Diceros bicornis minor: one gene and its partner. The protein of the gene in region 2 purifies or fractionates together with the protein of the main gene of each other region. This does not show direct contact. Links are inferred from orthologs where the notes say so. Each region holds a gene or a part of one and is shown on either strand. Other genes may lie near its edges.

Evidence for each region. The genes of interacting proteins can lie anywhere in the genome.
Region 1: the proteins of PSMD4 (region 2) and TXNL1 purify together in Homo sapiens (affinity purification with mass spectrometry; 3 studies listed by BioGRID, with this or other methods). This does not show direct contact. The link is inferred for Diceros bicornis minor from reciprocal best matches to the Homo sapiens genes PSMD4 and TXNL1.

Annotation. Positions count from the first base shown.
Region 1 is NC_080755.1:48,230,287-48,240,867, forward strand, and holds the start of TXNL1 (thioredoxin-like protein 1), read right to left. Parts: upstream 5,040-10,581; 5' UTR 4,882-5,039; coding exon 4,784-4,881; intron 1-4,783. UniProt on the Homo sapiens protein: Active thioredoxin with a redox potential of about -250 mV.
Region 2 is NC_080743.1:55,516,501-55,527,269, forward strand, and holds the start of PSMD4 (26S proteasome non-ATPase regulatory subunit 4), read left to right. Parts: upstream 1-5,431; 5' UTR 5,432-5,495; coding exon 5,496-5,521; intron 5,522-10,530; coding exon 10,531-10,671; intron 10,672-10,769. UniProt on the Homo sapiens protein: Component of the 26S proteasome, a multiprotein complex involved in the ATP-dependent degradation of ubiquitinated proteins.

The sequences.
Region 1 (10,581 bases), on a different chromosome or scaffold from region 2:
ACAACTATCTACTGGGGCTTTGGGGCAAAAAAAGGAGGAGGATTGGCAATAGATGTTAGCTCAGAGCTGGTCTTCCTCAGCAAAAAGAGGAGGATTAGCAAGGATGTTAGCTCAGGGCTGATCTTTCCCACAAAAAAAAAAAAAGTGATGAGAAGGAGCCTGCAGGAGGTTGGAGGAGGGGAGGGGATTGCAGAGTGTTGGTGTTGGTTAAACAGGAGTAACCACTTTGAAAATTTATCAAATTATACACTTAAATGATTTGTGTACATTTTTGTATGCATGCTATACTTCAATAAAAAAAAGTTTACTTAAAAAAAATTCTTTATATCTTCTCTAGGGCCTCATCATGCCCTAGTTAACTTGCAGCTCACTATCTGCCTGGTCCTTATGGACTGTTGGGTCTGCTAACTCTGTAATACGGTCAACTACTTTCAGTCTGAAGCAATTTTGCAATATATAATTAATACTACATATATAATGTATTATTTTGGACAAACTACCATAACCATTAGAACTCAAAATCCTAATATACACTGACATTCTTTTTGGATAGCAACAATAACACCTAACCAACTACAAAGACCTCCTTTAAAAAAATTGGATATATGGTTAACATATCTACAGAAGTGATACATTCATGAATTCAAGACAAAAATCATTCATACTGAGTTTTATTGGGGAGAAAATGTGAAAAGTTGGAGCTTACTCACCAATGATAACAACAAAACTGGCACTGCTTATAACCACTAAAATGTGTCTGGGTATATTTAAGAGGTAACAATTTGGAGATAACAGTTATAAAAACATGTTACCACAGGATATAATTCACATATATAATTTCATTTTCTAAATAATATGGTTAGGTTACATGTTATTATTCCCATTTTTCAGGTAGGGAAAAGAATTTCAGAGAGTGAACTGAATTGTCCTCAGTCATAAGATTAGTTTGCAGGCAGAGGTGTAGCTAAATCATTCAAGGCAACATTTACTGAAAAATGTCAGGCTCCATGCAATACACAGAGATGAACCTGCATTTCCTTTCTGCTTAGGCTGGGAGAGCAAGGATGGCATTTAACAATCCAAATAGTGCACTCAGCAATGGGACCTTAAACAAGTTATTTAACCTCTAACTTGCTCATTTGTAAAATGGGGATAATTTCAAAGATTATTTTGAGGACTGAATGAGTCAATATAACTGCTTACACAAGTCCCTTACACAGACTAAATAATATGTAAATGTTAACTATTTGAATTGCTTTAAAAAACACTGGAGAAGGGTGCCAAGACCATTCATTGGGGAAAAGACAGTTTTTTCAACAAATGGTGCTGGGAAAACTGGATATCCCCATGCGTTGGACCCTTACTTTACACCTTATACAAAAATTAACTCAAAATGGATCAACGACCTAAACTTAAGAGCTAAAACCATAAAATTCTTTGATGAAAACATAGGGGAAAATCTTCAGGACATTGAATTTGGCAATCATTTCTGGGATATGACACCAAAAGCACAAGCAATAAAAGAAAACATATATAAACTGGACTTCATCAAAATTTTAAAACTTTGTGCATGAAAGGACACTACCAAGAAAGTGAAAATGGGAGAAAATATTTGCCAATCTTCTCTGATAAGGGATTAACACCCAAAATATATAAAGAACTCTTACAACTCAACAACAAAAAAACAAACAGTGCAATTCAAAATGGGCAAAGGGCTTGAATAGACATTTCTCCAAAGAAGATAAAAAATATCCAATAAGCACATGAAAAGATGCTCAACATCATTAGTCATTAAGGAAATGCAAACCAAAACCACCAGATACCACTTCACACTCATTTAGGATGGCTATTAAAATATAAAAAGTGTTAGTGAGTAGCAAGTATGTAGAGAAATTGGAACTCTCATTCATTGCTGGTGGGAATGCAAAATGGTGCAGCCACTGTGGAAAATAGTTTGGCGATTTCTCAAAAAGTTAAGCATAGAATTACCATAAAATCCAGCAATTCCACTCCTAGGTATATCCCCCAAAGAACTGAAAGCAGGGACTCAAACAGATCCTTGCAGAACAATGTTCATAGCGGGATGATTCGCAATAGCCAAAAGGCAGAAACAACCTAAATATCTACCGACAGATCAATAAACAATATGTGTATATACGTACAATGGGAGTATTACTCAGCTTTAAAAAGGAAAGAAATCCTGACACACACTACTACCATGGATGAACCTTGAAAACATTATGTTACATGAAATAAGCCATAAACAAAAGGACAAATATTGTATGATTTCACTTATACGAGATACCAAGAACAGGCACATTCATAGAGACAGAAAGTAGAAGAGAGGTAACCAGGGACTGGTGGGGTGGAGTCAGGCGGAGACTGGGAGTTATTGTTAATGCGTACAGAGTTTCTGTCTGAGATGACAAAAAAAAAAAAATCTAGGAAACAGATAATGGTGAGAGTGGTACAATATTGTGAATGTACTTAATGCCACTGAATGCTACACTTAAAAATGGTTAAAATGGTAAATTTTATGTTACACATATTTTACTACAGTTAAAAAAACAACTGAAAAAATATACTGGAGAGGCACTGAAGACCCTTAAACAGAAGAGCAACAATCTGTATAGTGTTTTAGTAAAATTAACACGATGGATAAAGCACAGAAGTAGAGCATAACGAATAAGGCTTAAACTAGGGTTAAGAAATAGGTGCTGGAGGAAACTATGTTCCTGGCCTAAAATGGGACATTAACTTTGACCTGAGAGGTTTCTTACACGATTTTACTGGATATAGCTGTTTGAGGGTCTAATACTGATGCCCATGTATATAAATCTGGGGTCACACTGGCACAGGAATGCATTAATGAATGGCCAAAACGTTGAACTTGAAAGGCAAACACAATCTTATCAGACTTATGAATGTTACCTAAATATGCTTCTGAACTTAAAAGTTCTCTAAATTCAAACATTTTATTTGTTTGCTCTCAGTTCCTACAAACAAAATAAAATTTTCATCCACCAAAATACCTTTTTAAAAGTAAATAAGAACACAGTGCCTTATCAACCAATACCTGCAGTTATGTTTACAGTTAAATGATACCATGCTGCTAATGGAAGTGTTTCCTTAGTAGCAATGTTTCCCCACTTTTCTCACTTTAATTAAGAAATTATTTATTCCTTTGTCATCGCTCCCTCTGCTATGGTAAGGGAAAAAAAGAGTATATCATTGAGGGACAAAAGTCTAAATGCTCCCACTGACTAGAATTAGAAAAGTGAACTAAAAATGAGATTCACTGTTAAAATCATCTCTTCCCTTTTCCAACTTTGGCGTAAGTACTTAACAAATGTACAGGTATTCCCCCACATTAAGAACACAGACATCACAAAATTGCTAAAGCTGGGGAGACACACTTACAGAATTTTGACATTTCTTTTAAACATGTCTTTATACATGAAATCTTTATCCTCTTCAGTTTAGTAAATGTGAAAGTTCACATGTCAAACGAGTACTCTATTCCACCCTACAAAATCCAATGTACTGCCCCTTTTCAATTCTGTATAAGAGAGACTGGTCCAAAAATACGTCCTAGCTTTCTCTCATCTCTATCTGCATACTTCCATCCCAAAACTAGCTAATCCTAATGGCACCACTTACATACTCAACATTGACTGAATCCTGTGCCTGGAACTACACTTGTTGCTTTGAAATTTAAAATAATGCCTTACGTTTATAGTTACTTGGACAATAAAATGTGTTACATAAACAGTGGTACCTGTAGTAGATTTCTCCAAGTTAGTGTAAGTGTAAATAATGCCAAGGAGTCAAGGCAAATTAGTGGAGACCTCTAATCCTTCTGACTAGGCACTGACATACACAAGGGGAGCTCAGTGAACACACACACTGGCTGAAATCTTGGTTCTGAATGCCTAGTTCCAACGTGTCACTCTCACACAGGAACACTGCACACCCAATATGGAAGATCCACTAGCTCTACGACCTATAAATTACGTTGAGATTTACCAAAGACAGTTAACATCTTTCAAGATCCCTGTCCTCGAAAATCAAGTCAAAAATGGAGTTTATTTGGTCAAACCCAGACCTCTGGACACCTGTCTACCTGTATTGTGTATATATACACCTACCATAATTTCTGTGATCAGACGCAATCGCATACAAAGGGGAGCCCAAAGTACAAAGTACAAAGTTACTAACCAAACGAGTAACAAAAACACTAAGAAAATTAAAAAGCATCCTGACTCAGCATTAACTTAATTTAAAATGCATTAGGTTAGCCTTAGGACTAAGCACTATGCGGATCAGTTGGACAGCCCCATCTGAATCTCCCAAAGGCTTTACAGATATCCAGGTGGTGAAGAGAACCAAAGTGTTCGGTAAATTAAGACTGCAGAGTTTCTAAGATGCAAGTGACAGCTGGCTCCCCGGAAAGAAGGGGACAGTCGCGCAGACTAGAAAGAACGGAGACGTACCACCCCCAAGAGCAGAGCCGGTCTGATGACTGAAAAGGTGCGGGCGGGGATCTCCTGGGCTGGGGCTGGGGAACACCGCCGGCCAGGCCTTTATGCCCGCCACAGACGCCCTGGTGCACGAATGGGGGGTCACACCCAAGAGCCGAGGCCTAACTGGGCAGCGGCCTGGGGCTGCGGTCAGCGCCGGACATTCCGGAGCAGAAGGAGACCGCGTGGGAGCGGGGCCGGGAAAGAGCGAAGGGAAAGCACGGGCGCACACCCGGGGCCCCAGGGCTCGAGCCCGGCCTCACCCTCGCATGGTGAACTTGACCACGGCGAGTCTAGAGCCCGCGCCGCTCAGCTCCGGCTGGAAATCCGGGTCGCTCCCGACCGGCTTCACTCCCACCATTCTCAGAGAGCCCGGCAAGGGCGGCCGCGACGCCACCGGCTTCGAAACGGAAGGAAAAGACGACCCACGAGACGAAGGGGGGAGGCTCAGGAAGGCCGAGGCCTGGACCGAGAAGGTGGCGGCCGCGACGTCTTCTCCCGGGGCTCGCAGTGCCGAGTCACGCCAGGGAGCACAGCGGCCGAGGGGGCGGGGACGGGCGGGGGAGGGGAGACGCGGAGGGAGGAAAGGCTTGCGGCACCCAGCAGCCCCCGCGCGCCACGGCCCCGGCGCTTGCGCACCTTGGCGTCATTTCCGCGCCGTCTGCTTTGGCTTCCACCACCCAATCCTAAAACGCGAGCCGTGGCCCCACCCTCGGCTAAGGAGCCCCACGCTGGCTGAGTGGCGTGGGCGCGGACGGGTAGCGGTCACCAGCGCAGGCGCAGACTGAGACTCAAAAGTTCATGTATTCCTCCGCGGTTCCAAAACCCGAGGCTTTTAGCCGGGAGTCTCCTTGGGGTGGGAAAGTGGAAAGGGAACCCCATTTTCTACGGGGTGCATAGGTACTGTCTAAGGTCTTAAGGCCTCCTGGAAGTACTTTGAGGATAGTCGTGTCTCATATTCGGGCAAGTCGCCACACTAGATGAAATAGACTTTAGAAACATATTTACGGGTTTCATTACGCGTGGGCGCTGTCTGTGCAGTCATCTAGAAAATATGCACCTGTCTTTAAGTTTTGCCTGAAAAAAATGAAAGCACCATCCTACCTTTGGGAAGCTCGCAGTCTAGTGATAGACGCAAACAATGGTTACAGTAGCAAAGAAATTTGCAATGAGATAGGAGGATGGAGCAGGGTAAATGTGCTAGGAGATGTGACCCCTAAACTGAATCTTGATAAAGAAAGGGTTTGCCAGATGCTGAGAGATGACAGGGGTATTCTAGGCAGAGGAACCAGCAGAGCAAATGCATGGGTTGAGAGGGCTGATATTAATAGCTAATATTTAACAAATTATATGCCAGACAAGATACAGGTTCTTTATGTATATTAGCTCATTTAATCCTCACAACAACCCTGTGAAGTAGGTTCTATTATTATTTCATGAGTAGACTAATTTTCCCAAGTTCACACACCTCGTAGAAAGTCAAGCAAGCACTCAAGGCAGTCTTAACACTCCCCTGCTCCTTGAAATATTAGGCTAGATGACATGAAATGATTTGCTTTTGGATTTAGCTGAGGAGATGAAACCGAAGAGGAGGTCAGATCAGAGGAGCAAAAGGAATTTGTAACATGAAACCAGTGGAGTAATCACTGCAGGGCAGTTTTGTGATTACACTTTAGAAAAAGCCCTGCGGTAGCAGTGAGGAGGATGGAAGACAGTGAGACTAGTTTAGGAGGTTACTGTGGTAATCCAGGAACTGAGTTATGGGAGCAGCTGCAGTGGACACGAAGAGGAAATGATATATTTGAGAAACAATTAGAAGATAAAAATCACAAGGTTTAGTGACCAATTGGACCAATTTAGTGAAATGACAGAGGAAGGAGTCTAGGATAATGCAAATATGTCAATCTTGTGGCTCTTTTTACTGAGTTAAGATGCCTGCAGGACATCCAGGTGAGGTGCACAGTTAAGTAGTAGGAAGAATGAGTCTGGAGCTAAAAAAAAAAGAGTAGTCTAAGGTTACTGACTTGAGATTCAGTAGTTTATGTGATAATTGAAGCCCAAGAAGTGTGAAAAGAGAAGGCTAAGGGTGCTGCAAAAACATAAAATAACTATTCCTAACAACCCAACCAGAGCAGAGCCATAGAAAATACATTCCTTTCTCACGTGATACCAGCACAGGGTAATGGCTTTAGAGACAAATAAGACAGAAGTTCCAATAATAATGCTCTGCTACTTATTATTTTTTGGCCATGGTCAAGCCACTAACCTCTCTGAACCTCAGCTTTCTTGTCTGTGACAATTGGCTTAATAATAACTACTTTCAGGCCGGCCCCGTGGCTTAGCAGTTAAGTGCGCGCGCTCCGCTACTGGCAGCCTGGGTTCGGAACCCCAGGCGCGCACCGACGCACCGTTTCTCCAGCCACGTCCCACATGCAGCAACTAGAAGGATGTGCAACTATGACATACAACCATCTACTGGGGCTTTGGGGTGAAAAAAGGAGGAGGATTGGCAATAGATGTTAGCTCAGAGCCGGTGTTCCTCAGCAAAAAGAGGAGGATTAGCACGGATGTTAGCTCAGGGCTGATCTTCCTCTCACACACAAAAAAATAATAGTAACTACTATCTAAGGTTGTGAGGGTTAAAGGTAATAATAGATGATGTACACAAAGAACTAGAACATAAGGTGCTCGATAAAAGATGTTTATAAACGACAATATATTAGCAATGGCTGCCATAACAAAATTCCACAGACTCGGTGGCTTAAACAACAGAAATTTATTTCTCACAGTTCTGGAGTCTGGAAGTCCAGGATCAAGGTGCCTAACAGGGTTGGTTTCTCCTCAGGCCTCTCTCTTTGGCTTGTAGATAGCCGCATTCTCACTGTGTCCTCATGTGGCCTTCTATCTGTGCACACACATATCCCTGATGTCTCTTCCTCTTCTTGTAAGGACACTAGTCCTATGGCCCCACCCTTATGACCTCATTAAACCTTAATTACTTCCTAAAGGCCCTATCTCCAAATATAGTCATGTTGGAGGTTAGGGCTTTAACCTATGAATTTTGGGGGGACACAACTCAGTACATAACAGATGGATTATTATTATTACCAATGGTCCTCCCAGTTTTGTCTAAAAAGCAAACAGAAAGAGTCTCAACTAAGGCAGCTAAAGTAAATATTAAGGGGGGAAGGTGTTTATGAAAGCAAGACTCTAGAAACCCATAGATTCCTGAAAGGCAAGATAAAAAGAGGCATTGTAAAAGTCAGATATGTGAGGGCATTTTGTTGTTTATTTTCCATGTGTCCCTTCACATCCACTCTCAACCTTTCTTCACCCTCCTCTTAGCCCCAGGATACTGACCTATAATGACTGGACCAATAGAATCCCTTGTGGGAGCTGCTTCTTGGAGATTTAAGGGTAAAAGAGAGTGAGATCCAGTTATGAATTCTCTCAGCTCTCATCCTGCTGTGTTGACACAGGTTGATTGTATCTCTACCAAAGGCCGCCATAGCTCCTGTCGGGAGGCTCTTCATACCATTACCCTTTTTGTGTTCCTGTGACCACTGTCTTCCCTTGTCCCTTCAGGCCTAGGGGTAGGAATCACTCCTGGCTGTTGGTAGCACCAGCATACTAGCTGAGAAACCCTGGCCTGCCCACCTGGCCTGCTGCTGCTGTTGCAGACCTGACTGCACAACAGAAGCAGAGACACTGGCCACCAAAATCCCAAGGCCAGGATCTCTCAGAAGAAGCAGAGGTACCTGAAACCCATAATTCCTAGATGGGCTTCCATACTTATAGAAGGAACCATCTCCAGCCACACAGCAAGCTCTCCTCTAACTGGTAGGCCAGATACTCCCAGCTAATCAGCAACACTCAGAGACTTCACTTTCCTAATACCAAGAGAGGTCTTTTGGTTTAAAAAGAACTACCATCTTTCTCCTTCCCTGCTTTCAGCCCTCAGAGCCTAGATCCGGTCCCCTTCTTTACAGTAACACTCTTCCACACACCACTCAATTCCTGATGTCTTTGTCTTTATTTTCTCTTCAACAACACCATCCCTTTTTGCTTCTCCTAAACCCTGTCTACAGGTTTGTTAATATTCCCCTTCCTAAACTGTCCTCAATTACCCACTTTGAATGTGCCATCTTTTTCCTGTTGTGACCCTGACTGATATAAAATTTTTAAAAAAATGATTAAACATCAGGGAAATTTGAGGCTAGAAGATTAATATAGCAAGCTGCAGGTAAATATTTGAGAGTTGCCAGCACAGAGGTCATAGTTGATACCATTAAAGTAGATGAGTTCATTAGGAAATATATAGAAAAGCAAGGAGTTATAGCAGATATTTAAAGACAACCACAAATAGGGAGTAAAATAGGAAAGAAGAGGTAGCAAAAAAGCAGAGAGGCAGGAAGAAAATTACAAAAGTCAGAGGTCAGAGGATGAGGACTGAGGAACACCTTTGTATGTAGCAAGGGGTTCCCTGGTTATCCTCCAGAGAACCAGCGCAGTTCAGTGAATTAAGATGGGAAGCAGCTCAATGGCAGGCACAGCAAATTCTCCAGGGCCTCCAGTGTGTCAGGCTCTGTGCTAAATCCTCAGAAGTTAAAGATAATTCCTACATGTTTCTGTCCTTGGAGACACACACTCTCGTGAGAGATCCTGACACAACCTGGAGACACAAGCCAGGTGGCAGTTGTCGTCCCTACGCTACTGATGACAAGGCTGACCTTCAGAGAAGTGTGTAACTCATTCAGTTATACACTATGCAGCTGCTTAGTCCTCTCAAGGTTGCACTCAACGTTATACAGAAACAGACTTTATATATGTGCGTCGAAACTTTTAGCAGACATTATCACATGGTGCTGCTCTTTTAGGGGATTTTTTTCCCATCTATATTTTCTAAATTTCTTCAATGATTATAAATAGTATATTTAATAATAAAAAAGAAAGAAAGCACAAGCAGGAAAGGAGGTTCCATGCAAGACTCTACAAGGAACGCCCATGTTTCTTCCTTGCCTTATTAGTAACAACTAAAACAAAAAATAATATTCGCAGTTAATTGGTCTCCTTGTGTTGTTTAGCTAATGCTTAATTTCATTAAGTAAAATAAGCTTTTGGTGGATGAAATTTTCTCAAAAGACGTTATCATTTTTCTTTGAAGTCTGCATATGCCACCCCGAAAACCCCATTTCCTGGGATTTCCACGAAAATTTTAGAAAAATCTTGCAGACGCTAACACTTCTGCAAGGACAGCTTGTGATTATTTTTAGGAGGGTGGGGACACTCTCTCCACGCCTGAGATTAACACATTCAGAAATGTTAAGTATGCTGCACACAAACTTCTCCACCCCATCCTTCACTTGGCCATGGCGGGCATCCCTCTTAAACGCCACGGGTTCCCAGAGTTTAGCCTCAGCCTCAGAATTCTACTCAGCAGCACCTGGAACCAGAGTCAACAATCAAGATAAAACCTATTTGCCATCCCACACCTTAATATAACTATCATACCCTGAAATTCATAGTGTCTAGGAATTGTCTATTCTCAAGCTGTAGTGAGTTCATTAAAACGTGGGTTCCCAGTTTCACACCTAGAGATTCTGCTTCAGTAGAGCTGGAGCGTGGCCTGGGAATCTGAATTTTAACAAGCACCCAGGGTAGCTGATGCAAGGAGTCCATATTTTGAGAGACATTATTTGATGATAACTTGTCTACTATTATGTAACATTTATTATGCACTTACTACGTACAAGGTAATGTGATAATTCTTTGAAAGATCTCTCCTCCAGGAACATTGAAAGAGAAATAAGACACTTCTACAGAAGCTAATAATACAAATTAAAATGTGGTAAGTGCCATAGCAGAAATACAAATAACATATTGTAGTGGTTCAAAAAAAGGAGAGAAAATTTCCAGCTGGAATGAGCAGACAATGCTTTATGAAGGAATATGTTCTAATAATCAGGCCAGGATAAACATGGGAAGAAAACGCATAAACTTCTTCACTTCACAGAAATGACTCCTGACCTTCCTCTTAACTATAATTTGTGGGGCCGGCCCG
Region 2 (10,769 bases):
ACAAAGTTCTATCAAAGTAGATAGAAAAAGCAGACTGGCTAGACTATAATAATTTAGGTGTGAGGTGTTGTGAGTCTAGGATGATGGTGATATCAATTGGAGAGGAAGGGAGAGAATTGAGACGGTAATAAAAAAAGAAAGCTTTATAATAGAACAAGTAATAGGAGTGAAGAGGGAATTGGGGATTCTCAAAAAAAAAAATTTTTTTTTTTTGGAAGAATATTAGCCCTAAGCTAACGTCTGTTGCCAATCCTCTTTTTTTGCTGAGGAAGATTGGCCCTGGGCTAAAGTCTGTGCCCATCTTCCTCTACTTTATATGGGACGCCGCCTCAGCATGGCTTGATCAGCGGTGCGCAGGTCTGCCCCAGGATCTGAACTCGCGAACCCCAAGCAGGGGGAGCAGAGTGAGCGAACTTAACTGCTACACCACCTGCCCGGCCCCTCAAAGTTTTGAATTTGAGTTTAAGCCACAGGCTCAGCCCTCCTTTAGGCTGGATCAGGAGAAAACTTCTCTAACAGGGATTGAATCCAAACATGTTTTAGGCATAAATGGTCGTTCTGCTACCCTTACCTTGTCACTCCCTCGTCAACATAGGCAACTGCTGAGTGGGTACAGTAGATACCCTCTTATGGTTAGAGGGTCCCTCTAGTGGTGAGCATTAGCTGCTACTTATTCTATAACTAGGCTGCAATCTATTTTCATATGCAAGTAGGGCCTATTGTAAAACTTCTATAACTAAAGTTAGGAAAATCAAAACCGTAGGATAATAAAGCTGGAAATCCTAGTCTAATGTTTTACCCTTAAGCATGTCAATCTCAGCTATTCTGAAAGTTACTCAGCAGAGTTGGAGTCTTATTCATTCTTTAAACAAAGATTTGCCAGTTAAAACAGATTTCAGATTAAAATGTTTTTTTCTTTAGTTTTTCAAGGACACAAAAAGCAGGTCAATATCATCTCCTGCAAAATAATTTCTTAAAAGTCCATTATAAAGCATCTCCTTGCTGTTTCCAATTTCTCTCCTCTCTTTTAAAAAATTTTTTATTATGGAAATTTCCAAATGAAAAGTTTAGTAGTTTAATGAACTGCCATGTATGCATTACCCAGCTTCAATAATTATCAACATAAATAAGGCCAATCTGTTTCATCTATACTTTCTACCTCACCCCTACTTTCTTGCTGTACCTCCAAAGGATTAAGTTAAAATAAATCCCAGACATCATATCCTTTCATCCATAAATATTTCAACAAGTAACTCAAGAGATAAGGACTCTTCTTAAAAACATAACTATGACATTATCATGCCTTAAAAAACTAATAATTTCTTAATAACAAATACCCAGTCAGTGGTCAAAGTTAGTCAATTGTCTTACAAATGAATTTTTACAAATAGTTTTTTTGACCCCAATCTCTGTTGAATACACTCCAAGTTTTTGCCCCCACCACCCAACCAAAGTATCTTTTACTAAAGTCGCTGATGACCTCTGTGTTGCTAAATATATCACTCCTCATCTTACTTGACATGTCAACAGCATCTGATAGTTTATTACTCCCTCCTTGAAACATTTTCTTCACTTCGCTTCTGGGATACTACTTTCTCAGGTTCTTACTAAGATGCTGTGCTGCTGCATCTCCATCCTCTTTTGGTTCCTCTTCTCTGTAACCTTTAAATGTTGAAGCATCCCAGGACTCAATCATAGGACTCCTTCTTTTAGTCTACATTCACTCCCTAGGTAATTTTAAAAAGCCCTTACAGTGGCCTAAAGATCCTGAACAATTTGTCCAACTCCCTTGTCACCTCATGATCTAAATACCATCTAAATATCAGCTAAAAACTCTCAAATTTCTATCTGCAGCCCAGACCTTTTTTCTGAACTGCAAACTCGTATATCCACCTGCTTATTTGACATCTCCATCTAGGTATCTTAAACCTAACATGTCCAAAAGCTGAATTTCTGGTTCCCACCCCTCCTAACTCATCTTTAGAAATAGTGACTCCATTCTTCTAGTTGCTTAGAACCAACTCTGGTGTCTTCCTTAAGACTCCCTTCTTTTACATCCTCCATTAAATCCATTGGCAAATTCTGTCAGTTTGTGCCTTTATGATATACTCGAAATCCTACCACATGTCACCATTTTCACCTCTTGTTACTGCCCTAGAATAAGCCTCCATCATATCTGATCACTGAAGTAGTCTCCTAACTGGTCTATCTCCATCCCCCCTTTTTCCCCAGTCTGTTCTCAATGCAGCAGCCAGAGTGATCCTATTAAAACCTTGTCAGATCCGTCAAGCCTCTGTTGAAAACTTTCCAGCAGCTCCTCATCTCACTCAGGGTCCTTAAAATGATCTATGAGGCTGTACATGATCCAACCTCTCTTTACTCCCTCTGCCTCTCTGGTCTCATTTCTTCTCTCTCCCTCCACTCCAGCCTCTACTGGCCTCCTTGTTCTTAAGTACACTCTTGCCTGAGGCATTTGCACTTACTCTTTCACCCAGGTATCCTTCAGGTCTCTGTTCAAATGTAAGTCTTTCCTAATATCCTATTTACGTAAAATAGAAACCACATCCACTCAGGTTTGTTTTTCTCTGCACTGCCTACCATTAATTGACAATACTGTAGTTCCCCCTTATCCGCGGTTTCACTTGCCGTGGTTTGTTACCTGAAATCAACCACAGTCCAAAAATATTAAATGGAAAATTCCAGAAATAAACAATTTGTAAGTTTTAAACTGCACACCATTTTAAGTACTGTGATGAAATCTTGCGCTGTCCACCTCCCATCCCACCCAGGATGTGAATCATCCATTAGCCCAGCATATCCACGGTGTATATGCTACCAGCCCATTACTCACTTAGTACTCATTTCGGTTATCAGATTGACTGTATCCCAGTGCTTGTGTTCAAGTAACCCTTATTTTACTTAATAATGGCCCCAAAGCCAATTTTATTATTTATTGTTGTTAATCTCTTACAGTACCTAATTTATAAGTTAAATTTTAGCATATGTATGTATGTATAGGAAAAAACATAGCATATATGAGGTTTGGTACTATCTGTGGTTTCAGGCAACCACTGGGGGTCTTGGAACAGATCCCTCAAGGATAAGGGGGGTCTACTGTATATATATTTACTTATTGGTTTATTGCTACCTTCCCCCATGGAATGTAAGCTCCCTAAGGGCAGGATTTTGTTTTGTTCCCTTCCAAGTGCCCAGAATAGTTCCTGGCCCACAGGTAAATGAATGAATTGTTTGTTTGTTTTTGTGAGGAAGATCAGCCCTGAGGTAACTTCCCATGCCAATCCTCCTCTTTTTGCTGAGGAAGACTGGCCCTGGGCTAACATCCATGCCCATCTTCCTCCACTTTATATGGGACGCTGCCACAGCATGGCTTGATGAGCGGTGCATCGGTGCGCGCCCAGGATCTGAACCTGCAAACCCCGGGCCACTGAAACGGAGCAGGTGCACTTAACCTATGCGCCAGCGGGCCGCCCCCTGAATGAATTATTTTTGTTTTTGCTTTTTTCATTATAGAGCTTTTGTTTTACTTAAATATGATCCTATCATCTTTTGTGTGCATTGTTGCAGCTTACATATCTCTTAATTGAGAAGCTTCTGACACGGTTCTAATAGGATATCTTCTCTATTTGAAGAAAGTTTTAGTTCTCCATTCTCCAGGTTGAATCAAATCGTCCTTATTAAGACCTATTTTTCACTATCTCATTTTTTTATGGTCACTATATTTTTGTCTTCTTCGCAATATCTCCATAGACTTTTAAAAGTGTACTAACTAAAAACTGGTCACAATCTATTAAATGTCTGACTAAAGCTGAGAAGGTGACACCTCTCTGCACAGATATCATGGATCATGTTTTCCCAGAACAGTGATGACGGTATTCGTTCAGTTCCTAGTCCCTTTGTTTGGGTTGAATGTTTGTCTTTGTTTACTTCCACATTTAGAAGAATACTAACTCTGGGGTGGCCCCGTGGCTTAGCGGTTAAGTGCGTGTGCTCCGCTGCTGGCGGCCGGAGCTCGGATCCCAGGCGCGCGCTGACGCACTGCTTCTCCGGCCATGCTGAGGCCGCGTCCCACATACAGCAACTAGAAGGATGTGCAGCTATGACATACAACTATCTACTGGGGCTTTGGGGGGAAAATTAATAAATAAATAAAATCTTTAAAAAAAAAAAAAGAATACTAACTTATAATTATCCCTGATGTTCAACTTGTCTTTGGAATTGTATTATCTTGATTAACCCAGAGCATTTTTTTGTTGATGAATTTTATATGTTATGAAATATTCTTCTCTTGATCTGATTTCAGCTATTTGTGTTGATTTCTATTTTGTACAATATTAATATAGCTACACATGCTTTCTTTTATTACTATTGCCTGGTATGTTGTTTTTCCCTCTTCCTTTATTTTTACCTTTTGTCACTTAGTTTGGTGTGTCTCTATTTACATTGTGCAGCTGTTTTTTAAAAAACATAATTCTTGTCTTGTTTTTAAAATATTTTGGTTATGTTTGAACTTGTCACTAATTATTTTTCTGTGCTTTCTTATTTTTTTTCCCCTTTCCTATCTGTGGTTATGTTGACAGATTTTTTTTTCTCTGGTGATATGGAGATTTTACACCTATACAAGCTCTGATGGTTACCAATAACTTTTGAACATATCCATTAAAACTTTAGTAACATCTAGGAAATACAACACTCCTCTCTCGCATCTCTAAGTATGTGTGTGCATGGTGTGGCAGTGCCTGGTCCCTCTCTCCTTTCCCCTTTCCCTCCAAGATAGACCTGGAATTTACAGTTTTACTTGGTGTGTGTGCGTGCGCGCGCGCGTGCGTGCGTGCGTAGGGGAAAGTAATCCAAAGCATTTTTGAATGTCATTCTTGATTAACAAACCAAAATGGTTTGTTTCTCATTCTTTGGGAGATTAGTTAAAGGTGCTGATTCATCAAACCTTTTCTGGGCACCTACCGCGTGTTAGGCTCTGTAGTGGGCTCAACAATTGCAGAGATTAAGACACCTTTCCTGCCCTTAATTAAATGGGAGACACAGATACACAAATAAATGCAGTTCAGGGAGTTAAGGACTTTAGCAGTTAGATGAAAAAGTGGTATGGGGAACAAAGGGAGGTGGAACGTCATTAGTCGTGCCACCACTTTTTAAAAAGGACGATGCTAGTACAGATACATCCACAGCAGTTTCAGAGGTTTCCCTACAGCTTCTCTTAGATCCCGCCAGGAGGGAACTCCACCAGAGAACTTGAATGGTACAAAAGGTGGAGGTGGGCCCTCTTTGTGTGTGTCCCCCCCGCCCCCAAACGTCCTATTTTGGCTGCGCCTACAACTCCCAGAACGCAACGCGGAGGATGAAGGCGGAACCAGCTGGCCGAAGCGAGGTCTGTGATTGGTGGTGAGCGCCGGGCCAATTGGAGGAGTTGTTGTTAGGCGGTCCAGGAGAACCGGTCGGGGAGGGAGGAAGCTGGCAAGATGGTGTTGGAAAGCACTATGGTTTGGTGAGGAACTATCTCGGGGCTCCGTGGGGGGCGGGATTGGGTAGGGGGCGCCTGTCGCGCGGAGGCCGGACGGGCCTGAGGAGGAGGAGGGGGGCTGATGGGCGAGATGCGGCCTTGGGCCGGGAGGGAAGGAGCCGCATCGACTTCCTGAGTCATCCCGAGGCCGGGAGAAGAGGACAGGCCCGGGGTACCCCCCATTAACCCTCAACCTGCAGACAGCCAGTGACCGGCCGATCCCTGCTACCTTTCTTTATTCCGCGTCATCTTCCCTAGACCAGCCTCAGGTCTGTCTGTAGCCAGAGTCTTGTTTCTCGGACTTATCGTTATAGTTTTCTGCCCTCCTGTCTTCTTGTTTAAATAAAGGATGTTAGGAAGAGAGATTATAAATCCCTTCCCTGCCCCATTCCCTCTAACTCCGTTACCTTTCCCTGTATCATCTTCGAAGGTACTGTTTATAGATTGCTTTCTGTGTGTCAGACATTAATTTACTTTATCTCACTTAAACCTCACAACACTTCAAGGTAAATATCTCTCCATTTTACAGATGAAGATACCGAGTCTCAGCAATTTTAAATGACTTACCCAAAGTCACACAGCTAATTAAGTGGTGGAGCCAAGGTTTAAACCCAGGGCTATCGGATACAAAGGCTTCTGTCTGGTGAGCTAGCTCTCTTCATCAGTCGCAGACTTGGGCTGAGTGTTATGAGTTGGATTAGAAGCTGAGGACACAAACTTTTGCAAGGTTTCAAGAGTTTCTTCCAAGTGTGAGCATAGAGTATAATACAGACTAGTACACACACACAAATTGCCAGTTGGATGGAGCAGACACCTAAGAGTTTCCTTTTTTGGGGGAGGATAGCACTGCCAGATAAAATATAGGATGCCCGTTTAAATTTGGATTTCAGGTAAATAATACATTTTAATATAAGAAAATGGCAATAAGTGTGTCCCAAATAGTACATGAGACATACTTAGCCTAAAATCTTGTTTGTTATTTATCTGAAATTCAGATTTAAACTGGGAGTCTTGTATTTTTATTTGCTGAATCTGGCAACCTCTGGAGAGAACATGTTAGAGTAGAAAGAGGACAGGATTTGGAATCCCAAAACCTGTGTTTTTTGGTACTTCCCAGCTGCATGTTCTTGAGAATGTAGTAAATCTCCCTTAATCTATAAAATGGGAAAAATAGTAACACTCACTTTTCTTATAGCACAGGTAGGTAAAATGTATGTGATGGTGCTCTGTAAGCTATACAGCCCTGTACATACATTAGTTGCCATGGTACTTGAGAAAAGAAAGAATTTAAGTAAGAAAGAATTTAAGAGGGGTCTGGAAGGAACTTAGACAAATGTTGAGAAGGAGAGGCCATTACAGGTAGAGGGAAGGGCATACAGCTGCTGAAGTGTAAATACCCAAGGCATATTTAGGCATTAGGAAAGAGACTAGTGTGATATATGGTTGTCAGTTTAAGGCAGTTTTTTGTTTTTTTGTGTGTTTCTTTGGAAAGGTAGATGGGACCAGGTGGAAGACCACAAATGTCAAGCTGAGGAGGTTGAACTCTGTCCTGTACCCTTCAGTAAAGAACTATTGAAAAAGAGGGTGGTGGGCCGGCCCGGTGGCGCAAGCGGTTAAGTGCGCGCGCTCCGCTGCGGAGGCCCCGGGGTTCGCTGGTTCGGATCCCGGGCGCGCACCGACGCACCGCTTGGTAAGCCATGCTGTGGCGGCGTCCCATATAAAGTGGAGGAAGATAGGCACAGATGTTAGCCCAGGGCCGTCTTCCTCAGCAAAAAAAGAGGAGGATTGGCGGATGTTAGCTCAGGGCTGATCTCCTCACAGAAAAAAAAAAAAGAAAAAGAGGGTGGTGGAGGCAGAGCTGTATATAAAATGGCATTTAATATTATTGATCTGCCTTGATGTATAGGAGGAAAGATTTGGCCCAGAGAGATATATTGATGGCCTGTTGTACTATCCCTGGCACAGAATAATGATGAGAACCACTCCTTTTGTCTGTAGGGCCTCATGCTTTGCTGTACATCAGAATTCTCTGGAGGAGTTTCTTTCTTTCTTTCTTTCTTTTTTTTTTTTTTGTGAGGAAGATCAGCCCTGAGCTAACATCCATGCTAATCCTCCTCTTTTTGCTGAGGAAGACTGGCCCTGGGCTAACATGTGTGCCCATCTTTCTCCACTTTATATGGGACGCCACCACAGCATGGCCTTACATGTGGTGTCTCGGTGCGCGCCCGGGATCAGAACCCGGGCTGCCAGCAGCGAAGCACGCGCACTTAACCGCTACACCACGGGGCCGGCCCCTGGAGGAGTTTTTTAAAAGTTGCAAATATTTGACTCTATTCTCAATCTGCTGAGTCAGACTTCTAGCCAGGGACGTCCTGGCATCTGTATTCTTTTTTTAAATGAAGATTTTTAAAATTTTTTTATTTTTTATTTTTTGGTGAGGAAGATTAGCCCTGAGCTAACATCTGTTGCCAATACTCCTCTTTTTGCTGAGGAGGATTGGCCCTGGGCTAACATCCCTGCCCATCTTCCTCTACTTTATATGTGGGACACCTGCCACAGCATGGCTTGTTAATGATAAGCTGTGCATAGGTCCACACCTGGGATCCAAACCTGTGAACCCTGGGCCGCTGAAGCGGAGCGTGTGAACTTCACCACTATGCCACCGGGCCGGCCACTTAAATGAAGATTTTGGCTGGATAATATTGTAAGCCCTTATTTATTTATTTATTTATTTATTTATTTATTTGTGAGGAAGATCAGCCCTGAGCTAACATCTGATGCCAATCCTCCTCTTTTTTGGTGAGGAAGATTGGCTCTGTGTAAGCCCTTATTTTGATATAAATTTTTGTCGAGAAAAATTACATACTGTTGAGCAAAAGTAGTCACAAGAAATACATATATTATTCCAATCATTTAAAGTTCAAAATTGGGAAAACTAAACAATGTGTTTTTTAGGGATGCATATGTAGTGTTTTTAACACCACCACCACTACCGTCACCCTCCCACTGGTTCTGATACACAACAAACTGTCAGTTCTCGCTGTCTCTCAAGCCCCCTTTCTTACTCAGACACATTTCTTCCAGCCCTCATACATCTGCTGGTCTTGCCTACAATCCTTATACTTAGTAGCTATTCCATCTGGACCATCCTCAAAGCCTCCATTGTTTTTTATATTTGGACTCACTGGATTTGAAGCTAGAGAGGCAGTTACTTCCCTGCTGGAGAATAATCAGAAGCAATGTATCAGGAAAAAAAGAATATAATGCATGATCAGTAGCGTCAGCCCTTGACCTCCTTTAGGTAGAGTTTCCATTTTAAGAACTAGTCTGTTTCATGCTTACCGTTGGACGCTGTGATAAGTACTTTCTGTGCATTTAATCTTCATATCAATCCTATAAGGGTAGGTACAATAAAGCCCATTTTACACATGAGGTAACTGGACCTTAGAGAAGTTAAGTACCTTCCTTAGGATCATAGAATTAGTAAGGAGTAGAGTGGGAATTTGAACCTGAGCCTGAATACTGCCCTTTACACCCTTTTCTACTTGCCTTCCAGTAGCTGCTGCTGCTGCTTTTTTTTTTGTGAGGAAGATCAGCCCTGAGCTAACATTCGTGCTAATCCTTCTCTTTTTGCTGAGGAAGACTGGCTCTGAGCTAACATCTATTGCCAATCCTCCTCCTTTTTTTCCCTGCTTCTCCCCAAAGCCCCAGTAAATAGTTGTATGTCATAGTTGCACATCCTTCTAGTTGCTGTGTGTGGGACGCGGCCTCAGCATGGCCGGAGAAGGGGTGCATCAGGTGTGCGCCCGGGATCCAAACCCCGGGCCGCCAGTAAGGGAGCGCGCGCACTTAACCACTAAGCCACGGGCCGGCCCCCAGTAGCTTCTTAATTAACTCTTCATCATTTTTGTTTTGTATTTATTGCCAGGCAAGGGATACTATAGAAGAAAATTGCCCCCAAGCCCATATTTTGCTTGCCATTAGAAATGAGGTGTCTCATCTAGGATGCTGCTTTCTTCCATCAACACAGATGGAATCACTGACTATTAGAATTCTAAGGGGGGCTGGCCCCGTGGCTTAGCGGTTAAGTGCGCAAGCTCCGCTGCTGGCGGCCCGGGTTCGGATCCTGGGTGCGCACCGACGCACCGCTTCTCCGGCCATGCTGAGGCTGTGTCCCCCACAGAGCAACTAGAAGGATGTGCAGCTATGACATACAACTATCTACTGGGGCTTTGGGGGAAAAATAAATAAATAAAATTATAAAAAAAAAAATAGAGTTCTAAGGGACCTTAGGTCCATCAAGAATTGATCCTGTTCAGGGGCTTATGTAACTGCTTCGCTTATCTGCTGCCTTTGGGTCTCCGGGAAGCTGGAGCTTGTATTTCATGTGATCTGGATTCTTGTAGATTGCGAAAAGATGCAGAGATAGAAGAGGTGAGACCCCAAATCCATGAAGGCTCATATTTGCAGTTCATTCCAACTGCCAAAGCTGTTAAACATTTAATCAGATGGGTGCATTGTGCTTTCTTGCACTCATTGCTGCCGAGTGTGTTATTTTATAAATATTTTTAAGTTGCCGTCTTCATTTCCTACCTTTGGAATACTCCCGTTTGAGTGGCAGACTTAGAATATTCACCTATGACAATGCTTAATAACACTTTAAATGCACCTTATAAAAAGATGGTTGTGGTGTATCAGTAGATTGCAACTTTTGGTGCTTATCAGAATCACTTGTGGAGAGGAGAGGTGAGATTTTTTTTCCTCCTTGGTCATTTTGAGTCAGTAAGTCTGGAGTAAGGCTTGTTCATCTGATTATTTAAGAAAAAAAAACTTGCAGGTGATTTCTGTGTTCCACAAAGACTGAGCCACTGCCATGCACCACAGTGCCCCTCACAGGAGAAGTGTTGAAAGAGGGGAGTTCCCTGGAATTGGAGAGGATGTCTGAGAGAGATCCTATAATATGTCTTCCCTATCCTTTACTCCTAATCTGACAGTGTGGACAACAGTGAGTATATGCGGAATGGGGACTTTTTACCCACCCGGCTGCAGGCCCAACAGGACGCTGTCAACATAGTATGTCACTCCAAGACCCGCAGCAACCCTGAGAACAACGTGGGCCTCATCACATTGGCCAAGTACGTGGGACAGAGGAGGACAGGGCTCGGTAGGTGGGTGGGTGGTTTCCCCACATGTGACCTGCCGTGGTATCCAGGTTGCTACCCTTTTGTAGATT